4 linked regions of the Drosophila melanogaster genome follow. The protein of the gene in region 1 interacts with the protein of each later gene in a pairwise test. Each region holds a gene or a part of one and is shown in the gene's direction. Other genes may lie near its edges.

The links.
Region 2: the proteins of CG30431 (region 1) and RnpS1 interact in a two-hybrid assay, tested with the Drosophila melanogaster proteins (one large-scale study listed by BioGRID).
Region 3: the proteins of CG30431 (region 1) and CG9667 interact in a two-hybrid assay, tested with the Drosophila melanogaster proteins (one large-scale study listed by BioGRID).
Region 4: the proteins of CG30431 (region 1) and Prp6 interact in a two-hybrid assay, tested with the Drosophila melanogaster proteins (one large-scale study listed by BioGRID).

What each region holds. Positions count from the first base shown.
Region 1 is NT_033778.4:6,200,762-6,205,886, forward strand, and holds CG30431 (uncharacterized protein), read left to right. Parts: upstream 1-1,963; 5' UTR 1,964-2,185; coding exon 2,186-2,606; intron 2,607-3,257; coding exon 3,258-4,093; 3' UTR 4,094-4,463; downstream 4,464-5,125. Other genes in the region: eIF3f2 (eukaryotic translation initiation factor 3 subunit f2), read left to right, coding at 156-260, 317-1,072.
Region 2 is NT_033777.3:9,550,103-9,554,469, forward strand, and holds RnpS1 (RNA-binding protein S1), read left to right. Parts: upstream 1-1,931; 5' UTR 1,932-2,080; coding exon 2,081-2,082; intron 2,083-2,158; coding exon 2,159-2,320; intron 2,321-2,588; coding exon 2,589-3,549; 3' UTR 3,550-3,645; downstream 3,646-4,367. Other genes in the region: CG9386 (uncharacterized protein), read right to left, coding at 3,661-4,367.
Region 3 is NT_033777.3:8,124,657-8,128,498, reverse strand, and holds CG9667 (uncharacterized protein), read left to right. Parts: upstream 1-2,141; 5' UTR 2,142-2,183; coding exon 2,184-2,186; intron 2,187-2,247; coding exon 2,248-2,270; intron 2,271-2,333; coding exon 2,334-2,494; intron 2,495-2,555; coding exon 2,556-3,187; 3' UTR 3,188-3,209; downstream 3,210-3,842. Other genes in the region: Arl8 (ADP ribosylation factor-like 8), read right to left, coding at 1-9, 76-237, 304-458, 1,657-1,779; CG7878 (uncharacterized protein), read right to left, coding at 3,361-3,676, 3,734-3,842.
Region 4 is NT_037436.4:18,903,397-18,909,879, forward strand, and holds Prp6 (pre-mRNA processing factor 6), read left to right. Parts: upstream 1-1,975; 5' UTR 1,976-2,097; coding exon 2,098-2,195; intron 2,196-2,262; coding exon 2,263-3,781; intron 3,782-3,862; coding exon 3,863-4,816; intron 4,817-4,863; exon of another isoform or gene 4,864-4,889; coding exon 4,890-5,114; 3' UTR 5,115-5,147; coding exon of another isoform or gene 5,148-5,394; 3' UTR 5,395-5,578; downstream 5,579-6,483. Other genes in the region: CSN1b (COP9 signalosome subunit 1b), read right to left, coding at 1-1,293, 1,366-1,398; Ir75d (ionotropic receptor 75d), read right to left, coding at 5,148-5,394, 5,628-6,483.

The sequences.
Region 1 (5,125 bases):
TCTAAATAGCAAGGCAACGAAATAGGTGAGCACATTTTGGCACGTGCCCTTTTAAGTTATATTTACATTTTACAACACTGGATCGAGGGGAGGCACAAGCGCAGCCAAGTTTGCTTTGCTAAGTTTCTTTTCCAACTTAATTTTTTTTGTAACTCATGATGTCTAGGAATTTTAGCATGCGAGCTAAGGTGTATCTAAAGCCGTTGGTGTTTTTCCAAATTATTGACGCATACGATCGCCGACCAAAAGGTGACAATCAGGTAGGTGTGCGCGCATTCATCTCCTGTCCACTAATCTTGTAATGATCAAACCAAAGGTTATGGGCACTTTGCTGGGTCGCAACAAGGAGGGCCACATCGAGATCACAAACTGTTTTACTGTGCCGCACAAGGAGCATTCGGAGAACAAACGCATTGATCTGGATATGGCATATGCCTCCGAGGTCCTAGAGCTAAATATGTTCGCCTATCCGAACGAGCGTGTGCTGGGCTGGTTCTGCACTGGGAAATCGGTGTCCCGCTCCGCGTCCCTGATCCACGACTATTATGTCAGAGAATGCTGCGAAGGACAGCCACTGCACCTGCTAGTGGATGCAGCCCTGAAGAACCAGCGACTCTCGACCCGACTGTACTGTGCTGTGGAGATGGGAGTGCCTGGTGGCACCAAAGGACTGATGTTCTCATTAGTTCCACTGGAGATTAGCAACGAAAATTCCGATTTGGTGGCTCTGCGTTGCATAGAAAAGCAATCGCAGCAACAGGCAAGCAAGCAAATGGAGCGCTTCGTCCCAGAGTTGGCTCAAGTGGTGGATGCCACTAGGGATATGCAACATCGCCTTGACTTGGTGCTGCGCTACATCAACGATGTCTTGGCCAGGAAGAAAAAACCTGACAACGTAGTCGGGAGATCCCTTTACGCCGCTCTCACTGCCGTGCCGCTTTTGGACTCGGACAAATTTCGCGTCATGTTTAATACTAACTTGAGGGATATGCTCATGGCCATCACTCTTTCCACAATGATAAAAACACAGCTGGAGATCAGCGAGAAACTGTCTTGCATGCAGGATCAGTGAACAATGACAAAAAACTGACTGAATTGACTGAATCAATCACTTAATTGTTATTTTGGGTGCCTTTTGCTATTTACACCACCTAATAAATTGAACTTTCATTAAAAGGAGGATGTAGGTCACACTAAAGCAAGCCTTCGGTAGAAATTATTAAATTAGTATCGGCTCCTGAACTTTGGAGTCTAGAAACATCGCATCCAGCGATTAAGATCATTATAAGCTCGTGCCGAAAACAAATGATTTTCGTTAAGGCTTCCCCCGTTCTACACAGTTGCGTTGCCCGAAAACCTTATAGGCAACGCTTGATCGGCATTCTTTTCCAGCATCCCGATCTTAGTCCCTTTGGTAAGTGATTTTCAGAGAAAGCGAGTCATTTCGCCAACTCCTTTGGCCGTTTAAGCACCAAAAAGTTTGCGGTAAATACAACAACAGTGCTGGGAAACCCGCGGCGGAATGATGATCTCTACGGACGGTGATAAGGTCCAGTACAGATCTATTTCGGTCTGTTCAAATCTCGACGAAGAGGGCACGGCGGAGGATGGTAGTGGAAAGGTGGTGGGGGTGTCGGGGATGTGGACCACCCAAATAATGCCGAGATAATAACGCCTTATCGCGGTTCAGGGACAGTCGGCGGATGTCCACCGGGGCAATCAATTAGCTGGAACGAACTGAAAATTAGCAAACGTTGACGTTGACCGTCGATAGTAGCCCTACGACACCCCTCTCCTCAGACGAATCTCCCGTTGTCTCTCTGCGCCCCCACCCCTCAGACGAACCGACGCCTCCGCCGCCTCTGACTTATCGCTCAAGCCAAGGGCTATCGGTGTGCCCCGGTCGCCTTTCCTGATAGACATCGCTGCTCTGAGGAGTGGATTAGATGCGGATCCACACCCTCAGACGTCCAGCGACCGGCGATCCGAGCAGACGCACGAAGTATTAAGCCTGTGGTAAAACCGTAATGAGATCCGATTTCAAAATGAAAACCCAAGTAGACTGAGCTAAGACTACAACGCAAGGAAAACAACTATGCCAATCGTCCGTATAGATCGGGGCTTCCTTGATTGAACTCACAGTGTAAACCGCGATCGTCCGTCCGGATTTCGGCAACTAAGTATTATGCTCTCGCTGCTGCCGCACCACCCGCTCGTCTGCCGCTGCTGCCTGCTGGAGCAGCCGCCGCTCTACCACAGTCTCTATGACGCCTCTAGCCAGCTGGCGGTGGAGCTGAAGGCCCTGGCTCCCGCCCTGCGCCTTGAGCACGGCGACAACCTCACCGATGTGATATGCGACCTGTGCCTTCGTCGCCTGCACGACGCCCGCGACTTCCAGCGGCGGTGCGAGCACTCCGAACAGGTGCTACGCATGCGGCACGAGCACTGGAAGCACACGGTGGCCGTGGGAGACGCCTTGGCCCTGGACGATGTGCTTGAGTGCCTGGAGCGAGAAGTGGGCAGCCTGGAGGGACCGATGTCTGTGCCTCTGCAAGCAAGTAAGCCGGTGGCCCATGTGGCGCCCTTAATGGAGACCGTTGATTTTGGTAAGTTATCACGCACGGGGCGAACACATTGGTTTAAAAGCCAAGGCCGGTCAAAGAACCAAGGATTAGGTCATAAAAGAAAATTTATTATAAAATATGACACATGCTGATAGCACGCTGATAACCAGCTCGAATTTAATTAAGTATGTTTTTCTATATGGACCAAGCTATAATAACAATTGTTATAAACAATCAGCTAGACACAAATTTTGCATTCATGAACAAATTGATATTTTAACTACCTGCTACTCGAGGAGTAAAAGGATTCGATAAAAGTATTTTTTATATCTATCTATCTATCTATATATATATATATATATATATATATATTGATCAGTATCAACAACAGATTCGATATAGTCCGTTCCAAGTCAGTCCGTTTCTACGCACTAAACTAAACTCTCTCTTGTAAAGTTATCAGCTATCGGATATATATATATATTCATATACAATATAATATTCACGCAGCTGCCATAGAAAAGTGAACAAGAAATAAATGAATTTAATATGAAATATAGTTACTTTGTTTTTGATCGTAAATTAGTGCAGCTTGCAAAATTTGGTTGACATGCTGGTGACTTTGGCGCTCTCCCTTGTTTATATTGTCCTTTAAAGTTCCATACCTTAACTATAACTTTTTCACCACCGCAGAAAGCCTGGACTTCCAAGACAGCTCGCACAGTGAACATGATATTCCCTCGTACTGGGAATCGTCGGTAGATTCGGGAAGCCTAAACACTCCGCATCATCAGCCGGAGACCGCCGAGCTCTTTGCAGTCGAGCCCCCAACGCCGCCGGAATCATCCGAAGAGCCGGCACCTGATGCCGCAGAAAAGCCCAAGATGCGGAGAGCCAGGCCGCGCCAGGATAACGTCAAGCCCAAGGAGAGGAAGGCCTCTGGTGCCGTGCACCCGCGATCCTTGCACCCGTGCCCCGAGTGCGAAAAGAAGTTCACTCGCAACTTTCAGCTGAAGCTGCACATGACAGCCGTTCACGGCATGGGCGAGATGAGGTACCAGTGCGAGGAGTGCCGCAAGAACTTTGCCTCGCGGCACAGTCTTCGCTACCACGTGAAGTCGGTGCACTCAACGGAGCGTCCATTCGGCTGCCAGCACTGCGACCGCCGCTTCATCCTGCGCACGCAGCTGCTGTCCCACCTGCGCACCCACACCGGCGAAGCCAAGCCGCGCATATTCGAGTGCCAGCGCTGCTCGAAGAGCTGGCCCACCAAGTCCGACCTCCGCACCCATATGCGCTCCCACAACCCCAACATGGAGCGGCCCTTCAAGTGCGATCGCTGCTCGAAGGCCTTCTTCACTCGTGGCCACCTCAACTCCCACCTCCTGGTGCACACCGGCGAGAAGCCATTCGCCTGTGAGTACTGTGACAAGTGCTACCAGAGCGTTGGCAACCTGAATAACCACATGGTGCGCCTGCACGCAGATATCATTGAGGCCCAGTTAGAGGCGGAGGGCATCGAGAGCTGAGGCCCACGCCCGCATCCTAGGAAGAGGCTGCTCTAAGTATTAGGGGTGCTGGAGGGACAATTACACCGAGTCGACCACCTATAACTTTAACATTACAGTGAATATATTTATATAATATAATTTTGTGGCATGACGCCACTTTCTTCGTAGTTACCCAATTCAAGCTGTCGAAATATTCATTCTGTTTTCTTATTGAATCATTCATTGAAGAAAATGCCGAGTTAAGCAAATGAATGGTTTCTTGATATTCCAAATACTAATACTAAGCAGTGAGATAATCTACTCATTACCACATATACAATAATTTAACATTTTTTCTATACATTTAAATAAATATATTTTAGCTAGAAAAGGTTGGTTCTGAGTTTTTAAACCCGTCGGTTGTCTATTATTACTAGAAAACAAAGCACCAGGTAGATGAAATTGACAGTTGACATTGATTGAGAACGCATCTAATGCATATTATACATTCTTAATCTAAATCACATAGTGAGTTGATCTACACAGGCGACCAGACTGTCCGTCGGTACAAACCGAAATACAGAAGAACGTCGTAATCTCGGGACCTACATACATCTATGTACATATTTACATATCTAAATGCTAAGGAGTAGAGCTTTCCTTCGTGGAACTGTTTCGTTGGGCATTGCATTATTATTGCCCAACAATGGATTTGGCAAGCATTTCCTATGCCCAGTCGTCTTATCTTATCATATTTGTCGCAGTGTCGCAAACCAAAAGCGGTTGATTGCCAAACGCCACTGCGAGGAGAAAGTGACGAAATAGCCAGCATACAAAAAAAAAAACTGAAAACCGAAGGTGAAAAAACAAGACATTTGAAATAGAAATCGTGAAAAAATGTGGAATCAAAATAAGATTAAAGCTTAAAAGATGTGGTGTCAAAACGTACACCAGCTAAAATAACAATTCCCAAAAACAATATGACGCAATTAAATTTATGGCTATGTGACGATTACTAATGTTTCAGTATCTGATCATTTGACAGCTTACTTAAAATCATTTTACCAAGAA
Region 2 (4,367 bases), on another chromosome or scaffold:
AATAGTGCTGTAAACTATTTTTGGTTTGTAGTCTCTGAGAAATGGTTACTTGAATATGTTGAAGTGGAGTAAAGTTTCTTCTAAGAAGAAGGTTAGTGTTGCTTAAAACAGACATTTAAGTAGAAATATTATATATATTATATAATATTATATATATTATATAATGGAATTCTATAATTTGTACCCCAAAGATATTCTCCGCAATTATATAGTGATATATTCTTAGCATAAGAAGTTCTTTTTCTTTTCATAACATAAATTTCGATGCTTTTAAAATGGAAGCACTAAGATTTTGGAAGCACCCTCTTCGTATAACGACTGTGTCACGGCATAAAACCCCTCTTTGATCAGGGTATTTGTGGTAAATATTATTATAAAGATAAGATAAGTGCATTTCTAAACATAGATTATAAGACTTAATGCAGCGATAACATATACTTATGTATGTATGTATGTATATAAAGAGCGACCTCTTCGGTGCTCTCCTTCAACATTGTAAATAGACTACATTTCCGTAATTTAACTATTATTTTGACCACAAATGTGTGTGCGCGTTCTTCTATGCATACTTGGGCAGGGTCGGTGTTCGAGTTGGGGTCACACTACGCCCTCTCAAAATTAAAACAATAAATTATAAAAAATATACGCATATACACACAAGGAAGCAGGCATCAAAATATTCGCTTTTTCCATGGAGTCCGGACCCCAACACACATACACACTCACACCGATGCACAAAGAAACCGAGAGAGGGAGAGCAGAGAGCGGCACTGAGAGCACGTGAGAGGACCCACCTACTGTGCATACATGTGTCTGTTGGCAGCTCCTATTGTTGTTGCTATTGCGTAGTCATGACAGTCAACTTCATCGAATGCTCTTTTTCGCTTTTCTTAGTTTCGTTTTCTTTACACACATTGATTATATGAATATATGGATATGTATACCAACGAAACTCTTGTTGGCTAGCTGGTTTTTGGCAATTACGCTGCGCTGTGGCGTTTCAAAACACGATGATGGGGCTAAAAAAATGTGCCTTTGAGGTATAGACACTGGTTAATTTGCATTGACTGCTGCCACAACATAACTGCACTTTGCACTCACACACACACTAAGATATGTTTTTCAACGCAAAGCATTCGGGGCGGGGTTTTAATATTGCTATTGAGCTACAGGCAGAGTAATCCGAAATATTAAGAATAATAATACTACACACCAGACGCGGAGCTCCCGACTCGACGGCAGACAAAGACGCAGTGTGGTAAAATGTGCCCAGACCAGACGGGGCGCTCCTCTCTCTCACACTCTCTTTCTCTCTCTCGTTTCCGCTGCGAGTGTAGATATATGGATGGAAAATCGAAACTCTGTGGCTGTGGCCAGCCCCCGCGGCCCCCTTTTGCTATCTCGCTTGCTCGCATGGACAAAATCAACACAAGTTCACACACATACAGGCACACGGATGTGAACTCACAATGACAACCACTTCGTCACCAGCAGATAAAAAAGTGCTGGCCTTAAATCAATTGCGTTTTATGTAATTCCACTACATTCGTACGTTACGAAAACAAGCACTATTCATATTACACGGTATACATTATTACTTCCTATCGAGTCCAAATTGCTAGGCAGGAAAGGTCTTAAATTTTTACGCTTTATGGGAGTTTACCTTGGGTTCGACCTGACAAAGAGTGTGGCCGCGGCGAGACTGTGAGAAATTACCAAGTGGTGTCTGTTATCTTAATCCCAAATACTCTAGAAACATTTGTATACTAGAATTTGAGATTTAAGCATATTATAAAAGAAATTTATTTATATTTAACTAAAAATGCTTCTTAATATTCGCAAAACAGTTTTTTAATAGCAAAGTAAAGGAACTGGATTTTATTTTAATAAGTGTGTATTCTATTTTTTTGTCATATTTACACGTTCACAAACACGGCCACACTAATCTCCACTGAAAACGCTACTCGCATTTAACTCTAGTTGAGAAAAACAAGATTTATTAATAAAAACATTTTAGCTTGCACCTAAAAGAGTGTGCGGTACTATAAAACTAATCGTTTAACAAATCGGCAATACGAAAATGTAAGTATCTGCACCACATTTTGCTCCCTAAATGGTCTAAAACAGCTCGCTTTTCTCGACAAATAAAAAAAAACAGGGCGCGTGCCCAGAGTCTCGCCGGCGAGGGTGAGAAGGAAAAGGACAACAAGGAGAAGGTCGCCAAAGAGAAGGACGGCAAGGCGACCAGCGGCTCCTCGCGCAGGGACCGCGAACGCAAACGCCGCGGATCGGCGTCCTCCAGCAGCGACTCCAGAAGCAGGTAAATCAGCCGGCAAAGGTCTTTCCCACAAATGGCTGCCATCTGCCAACCGGAATAAGGGTTACTTTTAAAAGGAAGTCCTTCTTCTTCTGTAAAACGTAGCAGATAGTACGGGAAGAAAATAGCCTTCGAGCGAAAAGATTTTGTAAAAATTCACATACCATATATGGTAAAATTTCATCACAGTTAGGAAGTGTTTTACTTTGTACCAGCTTCATTGCCGTTTTCTTGGTTACGAGAAGTAAATAAAACACTTCACTTTTTCCAGCACATCGGACAGCAGCTCTTCGCGGAGCAGTTCCGGGTCATCGCGTTCCAGCTCAAGCAGCTCCAGCGACTCCTCGAGCTCCTCATCATCGTCGTCCAGCGATTCGGATCGCAGCGAGAAGAACCGAAGACGTGGCGGCGGCGCTGCTGGCAAAGACAAAGACAAGGATAAGCCCAGCGCCCGATCACGTTCCCGCTCTCGCACCCGTTCCCCCAGGCGTGTCTCCAAATCTCCAAGACCGGGCAGCAAGGCGCGAAAAGAGCCGGAGCGAGATCGCGATCGTCGTAGTCGGTCGAGGGATCGTGCCCGCCGTGCTGGATCCAACGATAGGGCAGCCGCCGATAGCAATAATGTTAAGCGGGAGCGTTCTCGCTCAGCCAGTCGTTCACGATCGCCACGCCGTCGTGGTCGCGGCTCCGTTGAGAGGACGCCGCCACCGAAGCGAAGGGAGCGCTCCCGTTCGCGGACTCGCTCGCCTTCGCCCAAACAGGTGCGCATTCATGTCGGTCGGCTTACCCGCAACGTTACCAAGGACCATGTGTTCGAGATATTTAGCAGCTTTGGGGATGTGAAGAATGTGGAGTTTCCCGTAGATCGTTTTCATCCTAACTTCGGACGCGGCGTGGCGTTTGTGGAATATGCCACACCCGAGGATTGTGAGTCGGCCATGAAGCATATGGATGGCGGGCAGATAGATGGCCAGGAGATTACGGTATCCCCGGTTGTCTTAGTAAAACAGAGGCCGCCCATGCGTCGTCCTTCGCCACCGATGCGCCGTCCGCAAAACAACCGCTGGCGATCCCCACCCCAGTTCAATAGGTTCAACAATCGTGGAGGAGGTGGTGGCGGCGGCGGCGGACGTCGTCAGTCACCCATGAGGAACCGGCGTTCACCACGGCGTCGCTCCCGCTCCCCCATTCGTCGTCGACGCCGCAGCAATAGCAGTGACAGCTCTCGTTAGAGGACACTGATCGACTCCTAGTTTCTACAATTGACACGATTATTGCACTTTTCTTTATATTATAATCCAAATAATAAAGGTGAGCAAATACCACACACATAGAGAGTTAGCTTAGTGTATAAACGAGCACTCAGCATCATCGAGAGGACATCCCAGCGGATGATGAAGCTTGAAAAAGCAGCTACGTTTCTTGATGGTCAAATGGGATTTGGGGAGAGTAGCCGTTGGTTTAGGGGTTCTTATTCCTATGAGATCACCACCGCAGAATTCGAAAACTTCGTGTTTATTGCGCAGCAATGTTTTGATGCCGCCGCACTCGGATTTAATGCCACTCAGCTCCTCCTTGGTGAGAGCCTGGGCAATCTCTCTCATGGGCAGACGACCAGACCATTTATCTTCGTTAGAGTCCAGAATCAGTTTGAAGATCTTAAACACTAGACCATCAATTATGGTCTTATCCACCTGCGTGCAATTTCGAACGCTCTCCTCCTTCTCGCGCAGCTTAATTTTGGCATCTCCGGTCTTATACTTTCTTAGCTCTTCTTGGACAAAGTACTCCAGATCTTCAATAGCCTTTGAGGCTTTTCTCTTAATTCCCAGCAGAGCCAATCGCTTGGTGCTTGGTATTTTTAGACGGTCTTGTAGGATCTCATAGCCACATTCATGAGAGACCTGAGTGACGTATTGAAAGAAATCCTGGTAGGCACTTATCTTCGTATTCCGCCTGCGAAACTTGGCTCCCGACAGTTCAAAGGGACAGCAGGGCAGTAGGAAATAGTTAATGTTCAAACGACCAGCCAAAACCGGTAGCCAAGGAG
Region 3 (3,842 bases), on another chromosome or scaffold:
GATAGATTCCTGCAATTTATTTTAAATGATTAATTTATAATTTTTAAATAGTTTTAACAATTTTAAGGCGCTCACATTCGTTCGATGAGTCCGGTTTCATCGAGAGCGCCTGGAAGATCTCGTTTATTGCCCAGCACGAGAACTGGAATGCCGGCGAGCTGCGGTTTGTCCAACAGTGAGTGCAGCTCGTTCCTCGAGGCCTCTAATTTGTCCAGATCGGCTGCGTCCACCATGTAGCTGTTGATTAATACATTACAGTGTTACTTGACTACCGATTGTTGCTTAAGTATCATTATTGCTTACACAATCGCATTAACGCCGCGACAATAGCGCTCCCACATGGATCGGAATCGAGGTTGGCCTCCGATGTCCCACACCTTGATAGTCACATTGCCTCTGGTGATCTTGCGCATGTTGAATCCAACTGTGGGTATCATGTCCTCAGCGAATTGGCCGGACTACAAGAAACAAAAATAATTAGTAAGTAATCGTGTCTTAAATAAAATACAACTTTTATATTAGCAAAGAACAAAGCCTAGAAGTATGCAATCCAAAATAATGTAAAACTCGTGTAAAAAATTGATTTTTTACACATGACAGCATCCAAAACCTTAAAAAATTTGTTATTCTTTTTGAAAATGCTCTTAAATAAATAACTATTGTAATATCTTAAAGTATTGATCAAACAATGTCTTTTGGTACTAAATTTAATTCAACATACAACACTTAAATTGATAATTGATTCTAACCCATAAATCTTTGTTCTGTATCAGCATCAATCACCTTACATATGCATTCAATAAGAGAATCGAAAGCTCCTAAAATGGCAAGATGTTACTTCTGTGACTTAGTTTAAATTAAAAAGGTATACTATAGGTTAGCAGTCGCTAGTGAAATGGGAAAAGTGACTAATTGGCGCCACCCACAAGTTTGTTTTCATTCCGAACCTGAACATTACACTAATGCACGAATCTGAATGCAAACACGGAATTGGAGTCTAATAGCAGTGATAAGCAGGGGAATATTTCCGTTTCGGGAGCACTTGAACAAACAAATTTCCCGTAGATGCGGGCAGACATTTGAATCGAATTCACATGACTCATAATAAGTCAGGCGGTCACAAAGGCAGTAGTTACTCCACCTCCCGCAACGACTGGCAAGTGTATGCAACTATCTACGAGTTCCAGTAAATGGTAACTTGAGATCGTCGCATTATCAGCGTGCAGAAATGTGTGAAAAAAACCAGGGAGGCGGTACGGGAATACGGGGTCAGGGGTTGAAGTGCTGATAATGGCGTCATTGTGCGGAGAAACATGCGTATATATGGGCTATATGTAGGTTTATTGATTACAGCGGCAGGAACGGTAAACTTTACCACTAAAAGGAAACGGTTAGCACAGCGTTAATTACGGATGCAGTGAAAGAAACTGGGAGTACGAAAAGATAAGAAATAAACAATGTTAGAGTGGGGGAATCAAGCTAAGACCAATTCCTTTGTCACTGGGGGTTTGTAATGCTTTTTAAGTAGTAGCTGATCCCCCGGCTTTCCGTGAACCCCCTCCCCACCCACACAACAGACAACCACACACAAAAAAAACCACCCTCTCACCCATACACCCACACGAATTCGCACACACCCACTGCGAAAATACTCACTGCAATAACATTGACGAACGTCGTCTTCCCGGAGAACTGCAGCCCCACTAGCGTGAGTTCCATCTCCTCTTTCCAGAAGATGCTCTTGAACCACTCGAGGATCCTGTTGATGAGGGCCAACATCCTGGGGCAGGTGTGTTTCTGGTCGGGATCTGCTTGAAATTCGCGAAAAAAGGTTTCCTTTTCCAAAGAGCGTAAATGTTGTCGTGAAAAAACAACTGGGCAGGTCAGTGTGGCCAAGTGCGCGGTAGTGTACTTAGTAGTATTCGTAGTGAATGGTAATCGTTTATTTCAGCATGTATCCAATTAAGAGAAAATAAAATTCATATGGTATATATATATTAAGTACAAATAAATAATATTATGTCTTCGGGTTTCATCGGGAATATTATTAATAAATTGCATTTAAAATATATGTGAAATCGCTACTGGACAATATTTACTGTACTTGCTATCGATAACGTGTAACCGATTTCCGTATAGTTCGCTGTGACTGGCAATTAAGGCAGAAGAAGTTAGTAAACAAAATGGTAAGATGATGTGAAAATTTTATTAATTTTAATTAAATGAATAATACATGTATATTTTCAGGCGCGCAATGCAGAGAAGGCAATGTAAGTAACCCGGATATACGTATAACATAAGATTTCCAGCACTCATCCGCTTATTTTCGACAGGACAACTTTGGCACGTTGGCGGGCCGCAAAAGAAGTGGAATCTGGTGAAAAGGAACGCCGGCCCTATTTGGCCTCCGAGTGCCACGATTTGCCCAGATGTGAGAAGTTCCGCCTGGAGATAATACGCGACATATCGAAGAAGGTGGCCCAGATACAGAATGGTACCTATTTCGGTTTATTTATTTCTCCCTAACAATATACACTAATAGCGACCACTTATAGCTGGCTTGGGAGAATTCCGGATTCGCGATCTGAACGATGAAATCAACAAGTTATTGCGTGAGAAACGGCATTGGGAAAATCAGATATCCTCATTGGGTGGCCCCCACTATAGACGCTATGGTCCCAAGATGTTCGATGCGGAGGGCCGTGAAGTTCCCGGCAATCGAGGCTACAAATACTTTGGAGCCGCCAAGGATCTGCCGGGTGTTCGCGAGCTCTTTGAACAGGATCCTCCGCCGCCACCCAGGAAATCACGCGCTGAACTAATGAAGGACATAGATGCCGAATACTACGGCTATCGAGATGACGAAGATGGTGTTCTGATCCCTCTGGAGGAACGCATCGAACGAGCGGCCATTCAGAAGGCCGTGCAGGAATGGCGGGAGAAAATGGCCAGAGATGGTCGCATAATCGATGACGAAGAGGAGGATGAAATATATCCCCTTTCGGGACCAGCACGCGAAGCCATCGAGGATGCCAAGGCTCGAGCCGCCGTGGAGGATCCTCATGGCCTATTGGCATCCAAGTTCACCGCTCACGTTCCCGTGCCGACGCAACAAGATGTACAGGAAGCACTGCTGCGCCAGCGGAAACGGGAACTGCTGGAGAAATACGCCGGTGGCACTAACTAAGCTCAATAAACATTCTAAACTCTTAGTTTGATACATTTAAATCGCGTGTTCTTTTAACACGGCATGTTTTGGGTTATGATCATCTATAATTGGAATAGATAAATAGTTAAACAATTTTTGGCAAGGCACTTCAATGCGCTCTAGTCTCTTATAACTAGAAAATGTAGAATGAATCAGTATTGAAATTGATCGAAATTTCGGCGTCCGCCGCCACGTCCGCCTCCAAAACGACCACCTCTTCCTCCAAAACCGCCACCTTCAGCAGCGCGCTTGTCCTTCATGGCTTTAAAGCGTCTAGCCATGTTGTGCAGTTCGTCGGGCACTTCCTGCTCCGCCTCCTGCAGTATCTCAATTAGTTCCTTGGCCATAGCCCAATCCTCGCGCGTAAAAAAGCTTATTGATGTGCCCTGTCGGCCAGCACGTCCGGTGCGACCAACACGGTGCACATACTCCTCGATGTTGTGCGGAAAATCATAGTTGATGACATGTCTTTGTGGATGAAAAAATAATGACTAATGGGTTCCTCGACTCGAAAAATTTGCTTACGTGATATCCTCAATGTCCAGGCCACGTGATGCCACATCGGTAGCAACCAGAATGCGCACGACGCCGGACTTAATATCGGCAATAGCCTGCTCACGATCCATCTGATCGC
Region 4 (6,483 bases), on another chromosome or scaffold:
GATCTGTCCGTCTAATATCAACTGCATCACCTCGTTCTCCAGATCGCCCACCGACGAGTTAAATGCCATGGCCATTTTGTGCATATCAGCTGACATATAGGGGCTAAAGTACTGGATTAGCGCGCGATTGCGTATCTTGGTATACAGAGTGGTTACATGGGGCGCAATGTACATGTCAACCAGCAGGTTGTCCCTAATCTCATCCAGAAGCGTCAGACATGAGGCGTATTTACTTTCGTAGAACTTGAAAATAATATCCCTGAGTTGGGGCTCCAGTTCTAAGAACAATTTAAAGGATGTAGAGGCGATGACCAGACGCTTAAGCTCCTGTCGATCAAAGGTGGCCAGGGCGCAGAGGCCACCATAGACCGCCACATTGCTGGTGGAGATCATTTCGGGAAAGTCGCAGTGATCGAAGTTAGCATTGAGGAAATGCTTAGCGGCCACCTTATATTTCTTTTGCTGCAGTTCCGCCAGACCAGCAGCGCATTCAAGGCGAGTATGAACCTGGGCATTAGCCTCCTTGGAGCCCTCGGCGAAGTCCGGGGTGCTTTCCGCCTTGGATATGTAGCTCATCACATGGGCCCAATTCTGGAGATAAATTGACACCTTGATCACGTTAAGGCACATGTTTACCACATGCTTGCCACTAGTGCAGTAGTCTCTGGCCCGAGAATAGCACTTCAGGGCATTGGTGAGGTCGCCACAACTGAGGTAGTGGTCAGCCAGGTCATCGTGGCCCCTCCGGATGCTCTCCTTGATCGAATTGGACTTGTAGTTCTTGAGGTCTGAGTCCAGTTTCTCCAGCTTAAGAGCCGCCTTCTTCATCTTGGTGTCTACCCAAGCGGCATCGTAGGCGAAGGCATCCTTTTCGACAGCGGGTTGAGCCTGTCCTTGAGCCTGAGCCACAGGTTGTGCCGCGATATCCGGAAGGGGAGCAGCTGCCAGGGGACCGGGAGCCGCTGCTCCTGCCTGATCTCCGCCAGCATTTGCTGGTGGCGCAGGCGCATTTCCAGCGTTTAGATCACTCAAGCGCTTGTGCAGCACTTGGTAGAGATTTACGTTGTAGGTGGTTTGAACGTAAGTAATGGCCATTTTCAGAGCCTCCACGGCTAAAACCGGGCAGACGTCCGCCACATAAATTAGGCGATGGAGCCGCACGATCCCGGCATATTGGTTGGCGTACACTTCGAGATCGATGCTGGGGTTCTCCACCACAATCTGCTGCTCCTCGTTGTTTTCGTTGTCCTCGTTCGGCGGCGCGATGTCCACTTGCATCGGCTCCACGGCGTTCTATTGTTGGAGTAATAAGCGATTTTTGCTGATTATATGGCTTCAGATAACGCATTTTTGGTTACTTTTTACCTGCATGAGTGGTGGCATCGGCAGCACGGGCATCCTGCTTCTATTTGCAACGAAAGTCCAGGGAAAATGAAAAATTTAAGCTACGTTTTTGTTTATTCGTCAATTAATTTTTCCGATTCGCAAATTATTTTACACCGATAATCTAGAGATGGACAATGTGAACAACGCTTTTGATCGATAGATGACAACTGTATGGTAGAAGACCATTTTCCACTTTTCCAACAAATAATATAACAAAAAATAACACTGATATCAGTTTAAAAATATTTAACAAAGATAGTTGGTTTTAGGCTAAGTTCCGATATCAAATACTTTTATAATCCGCGACTACAGGTCGTTATCAGACACTTTTCATTTAAAAAAATTATCAAAATGATAAAGTACCCAAACAAATTATTCTTGACATTTCATAATATATTATCATTTATCATCAGATATTTCATCATAAATATAATAATTTAGTGATCCTTTAAGAATAATAACTTAGTTTTCAGTTTTTTATGAATCCACATGTGTCCAATAAAATATTTTACAGAAAGAGCGATATTTGATATATCATAGAAAAACTATCACGATATAAATATTTACATTTATTTTAATATATCGATAAATTGATATATTTTTCCCATCCCTAATTTCAGAAGAAGAAGCGCACCACGCATTAGAAAACTTTCAATTGTTTGTGAAATTTATTAAATAAAGTAGATAATATTAATATAGAACTAAGCCACGATGTCCAACATAACGGCGGCGGTTATAGCCAACCGCAACAAAAAGCATTTCCTGGGCGTCCCAGCCCCATTGGGCTATGTTGCCGGCGTCGGTCGTGGGTAAGTACTACCAAACGCGCATCTCGCAAAGCAAAACTTAATGCTAATGGTATATTTTCTATTTTAGAGCGACAGGATTCACCACTCGGTCCGATATTGGTCCTGCCCGTGATGCAAACGATGTATCCGACGACCGCCATGCTCCGCCGGCCACCAAACGTAAGAAAAAAGACGAAGAGGAGGAGGAGGACGAAGACTTGAACGACTCAAACTATGACGAGTTTAGTGGTTACAGCGGCTCCCTGTTCTCCAAGGATCCGTACGACAAGGATGACGAGGAGGCGGACGCTATCTACGATTCGATAGACAAGCGAATGGACGAAAAGCGCAAAGAGTATCGTGATCGCCGGCTGCGTGAGGATTTGGAGCGGTACCGCCAGGAGCGACCGAAGATCCAGCAGCAGTTCAGTGACCTGAAACGCTCACTGGCCAGTGTCACATCGGAGGAGTGGTCCACGATTCCTGAAGTGGGCGACAGTCGAAACAGAAAGCAACGAAATCCAAGGGCCGAAAAGTTTACCCCTCTGCCGGACAGCTTGATATCCAGAAATCTTGGCGGCGAGTCGTCCTCTACGTTGGATCCGTCCTCGGGCTTGGCTTCTATGGTGCCTGGCGTAGCTACTCCAGGCATGCTGACACCTACGGGTGATCTTGATCTGCGAAAGATTGGCCAGGCTCGTAACACTCTTATGAACGTCAAGCTTTCGCAGGTTTCCGATTCCGTGACAGGCCAAACGGTGGTGGATCCCAAGGGCTATCTCACCGACCTGCAGAGTATGATTCCCACTTATGGTGGTGACATAAACGACATCAAGAAGGCTCGTTTGTTGCTCAAGAGTGTGAGGGAAACGAATCCTAACCATCCACCAGCTTGGATTGCCTCCGCCCGTTTGGAAGAAGTGACTGGCAAGGTTCAGATGGCGAGGAATCTGATAATGCGGGGCTGCGAAATGAACATCCAGTCTGAGGATCTCTGGCTGGAAGCAGCTCGCCTTCAGCCGCCAGATACAGCCAAAGCGGTGATCGCGCAAGCGGCTCGTCATATTCCTACCTCGGTCAGGATCTGGATTAAAGCCGCAGATCTGGAATCGGAGACCAAAGCTAAGCGTAGAGTTTTCAGAAAAGCTCTAGAGCATATTCCAAATTCAGTTCGTCTGTGGAAGGCGGCTGTGGAACTCGAGAATCCTGATGATGCACGGATTCTACTCTCTCGCGCCGTGGAGTGCTGCAACACCAGCGTTGAACTTTGGTTGGCTCTCGCCCGCTTGGAAACCTACGAGAACGCCCGAAAGGTTCTAAACAAGGCTCGCGAGAATATTCCCACTGATCGCCAGATTTGGACCACAGCTGCTAAGTTGGAGGAGGCCAATGGTAATATTCACATGGTGGAAAAGATCATTGATCGATCATTGACCTCGCTTACCGTCAACGGAGTGGAGATCAACCGTGATCAGTGGTTCCAGGAGGCCATCGAGGCGGAAAAATCAGGAGCAGTCAACTGTTGCCAATCCATTGTTAAGGCTGTCATTGGAATAGGAGTGGAGGAGGAGGATCGCAAGCAGACTTGGATTGATGATGCTGAATTCGTAAGTATTAAGAAACACTCATTTTTCAAATTTGTAACATTTTTGGAACAAAATAACCGTATTATATTTTCCCTCTTTCAGTGCGCAAAGGAAAATGCATTTGAGTGTGCTCGAGCTGTTTACGCTCATGCCCTCCAAATATTTCCCTCGAAGAAAAGCATCTGGTTGCGAGCCGCCTACTTTGAAAAGAACCATGGCACCCGCGAATCTTTGGAGGCCCTGTTGCAGCGAGCCGTGGCTCATTGTCCTAAATCGGAGATTCTCTGGCTGATGGGGGCCAAATCCAAATGGATGGCTGGAGACGTTCCAGCCGCGAGAGGCATTTTGTCCTTGGCTTTCCAGGCCAATCCCAATTCCGAGGACATTTGGTTGGCTGCCGTTAAGTTGGAATCAGAGAACTCGGAATATGAGCGGGCGAGACGCTTGTTAGCCAAGGCTAGAGGATCGGCACCGACACCAAGGGTGATGATGAAATCAGCTCGCCTGGAATGGGCTTTGGAAAAGTTCGACGAAGCTCTGCGGTTGCTGGAGGAGGCGGTGGAAGTGTTCCCAGATTTCCCCAAACTGTGGATGATGAAGGGTCAGATTGAGGAGCAGCAGAGACGGACAGATGATGCGGCTGCCACCTATACTCTGGGCTTGAAAAAGTGTCCTACGTCCATCCCACTTTGGATTCTTTCCGCCAATCTAGAAGAGCGCAAAGGAGTGCTGACGAAGGCTCGATCCATTCTGGAACGAGGACGTTTACGCAACCCCAAAGTGGCTGTGCTCTGGCTGGAGGCCATCAGGGTGGAGCTGCGTGCGGGCCTCAAGGAGATTGCCAGCACAATGATGGCAAGAGCACTGCAGGAATGTCCCAACGCTGGTGAGCTATGGGCGGAGGCTATCTTCATGGAAACCAAGCCGCAGCGAAAGACCAAGTCAGTGGATGCTCTCAAGAAATGCGAGCACGATCCACATGTGCTGCTAGCTGTATCAAAACTGTTCTGGTCTGAGCACAAGTTCTCTAAGTGCCGAGACTGGTTTAATCGAACTGTAAGTAATTTATACTACCTATTAAATGTAATAGAAACAAACATGTTCAGAGCTAATCATTTGTTTATTTCAGGTCAAGATCGATCCAGATCTAGGTGATGCTTGGGCATATTTCTACAAGTTCGAATTACTCCACGGCACGGAGGCGCAGCAGCAGGAGGTCCTCGATCGGTGCATTTCTGCAGAGCCCACGCACGGCGAGTCCTGGTGTCGGGTCAGCAAGAACATCCAGAACTGGCAGTTCAAGACACCTGAGGTGCTGCGTGCTGTTGTCCGGGAGCTATCCATACCCATCTAAGTTTTAAGTGTGTTTGGATTAAACGCGTGGAGCCTAGCGCTGCACTTCTCTATAGCCTTTAATTATGCGATAAACTTGTTTGAAGTGTCTGAAGATAAACTCGAAAAGAAACAGGACAAAACTGACAGCAGCTCCACACCCAAAGATCCCCAAAGCATACCGGCATTCTGTAATGCCAATGGAGACAAATCCGCCAACTCCGCCCTCGCATTTGGGCTTCTGAGGAATCCACTTTCGCTCCTCGCGATTCACCAAGCTTACTTCTCGCTGCCAGCGTAGTCTGTGGGTTAAAACAAAGTGTTTTATGATTTCCTCTTTTCGAACAAGTTATTGAATTGTAAATTATAAAAGGGTTTTTATCCCTGTAAAATTTTTAATTAGGCATATTTTGATTAGTTACACGTTTAAATTACTATTGGATTTTTAGTATAAAATTTAATAAATTACCTATTTTATTTAAATGTAAAATGCAATTGGAAAGCGAAACTATGTTTATATATAAAATATTCTTACTGCCTTCGAATGAGCTCCTTGTAAGGAAAGTTTTTCCTTGTTGGAATAGCTAGCATGGGCAGCTGAAAAGGCTCCAGTTCCATTAATCCGCACTTTTCCGGCTCGCTGAAGGTGTCGCTGACGATTTGGTAACCAGCCTGGAGTTCAACCTGGTATGCAAATAAGCCGGTTCGCATTTTCTCCATTCCTAGCAAGGGGCGCATATAGATATTTTCACCTTTGGACGCGATCTTTTTGTGGTAAAGATTCTTCGTTACGGGATCTGTGGACTCGGTGAAGTATATTTTATTATATTGCGTGTCCTGAACTCCGATTTCTAGAGGCGATTGTCCCAGATCAGACAATGACTGGATAGCATCCGACGGACTTTGCAGCAGGGCCACAATATTGGCCGAAAACGAGGTGAACAAGAAGAGAGCTGCAACAAATGTGGTGAAGACAATGATTCTCGCCGATCGGTTCCGCACCTCTACGTAGAAACCCTGCTGGCACATAGCACCCCAAACAAAATTTAGTGTATCCATGTAGGACATGTCGTGGTTGTGTGGCGAAAAGAAGAGTTCCAGAACCAAGACCACGGTCGTGATGATCAGTAGCATCAAAATGGACACCCACACATCGTTCTCAAAGGGCATAGCGAATATATTGGCCACTGCCGAGAGAGGTGGCTGCCGAAACATGATCCCAGCTCTCACTCGATAAGTCTCAGCCACAAAATCGACCAATGCAATACGATCCAATCTCATGAAGATCGCCAGCTGGGCCAAGTCCAGTTCATAGCGTTGAAAACGTCCCATGAGACCATCGAATGATCCATTTGGTTGTCGCCATCCGTAGTTCACTGTTTGGTAGGTAT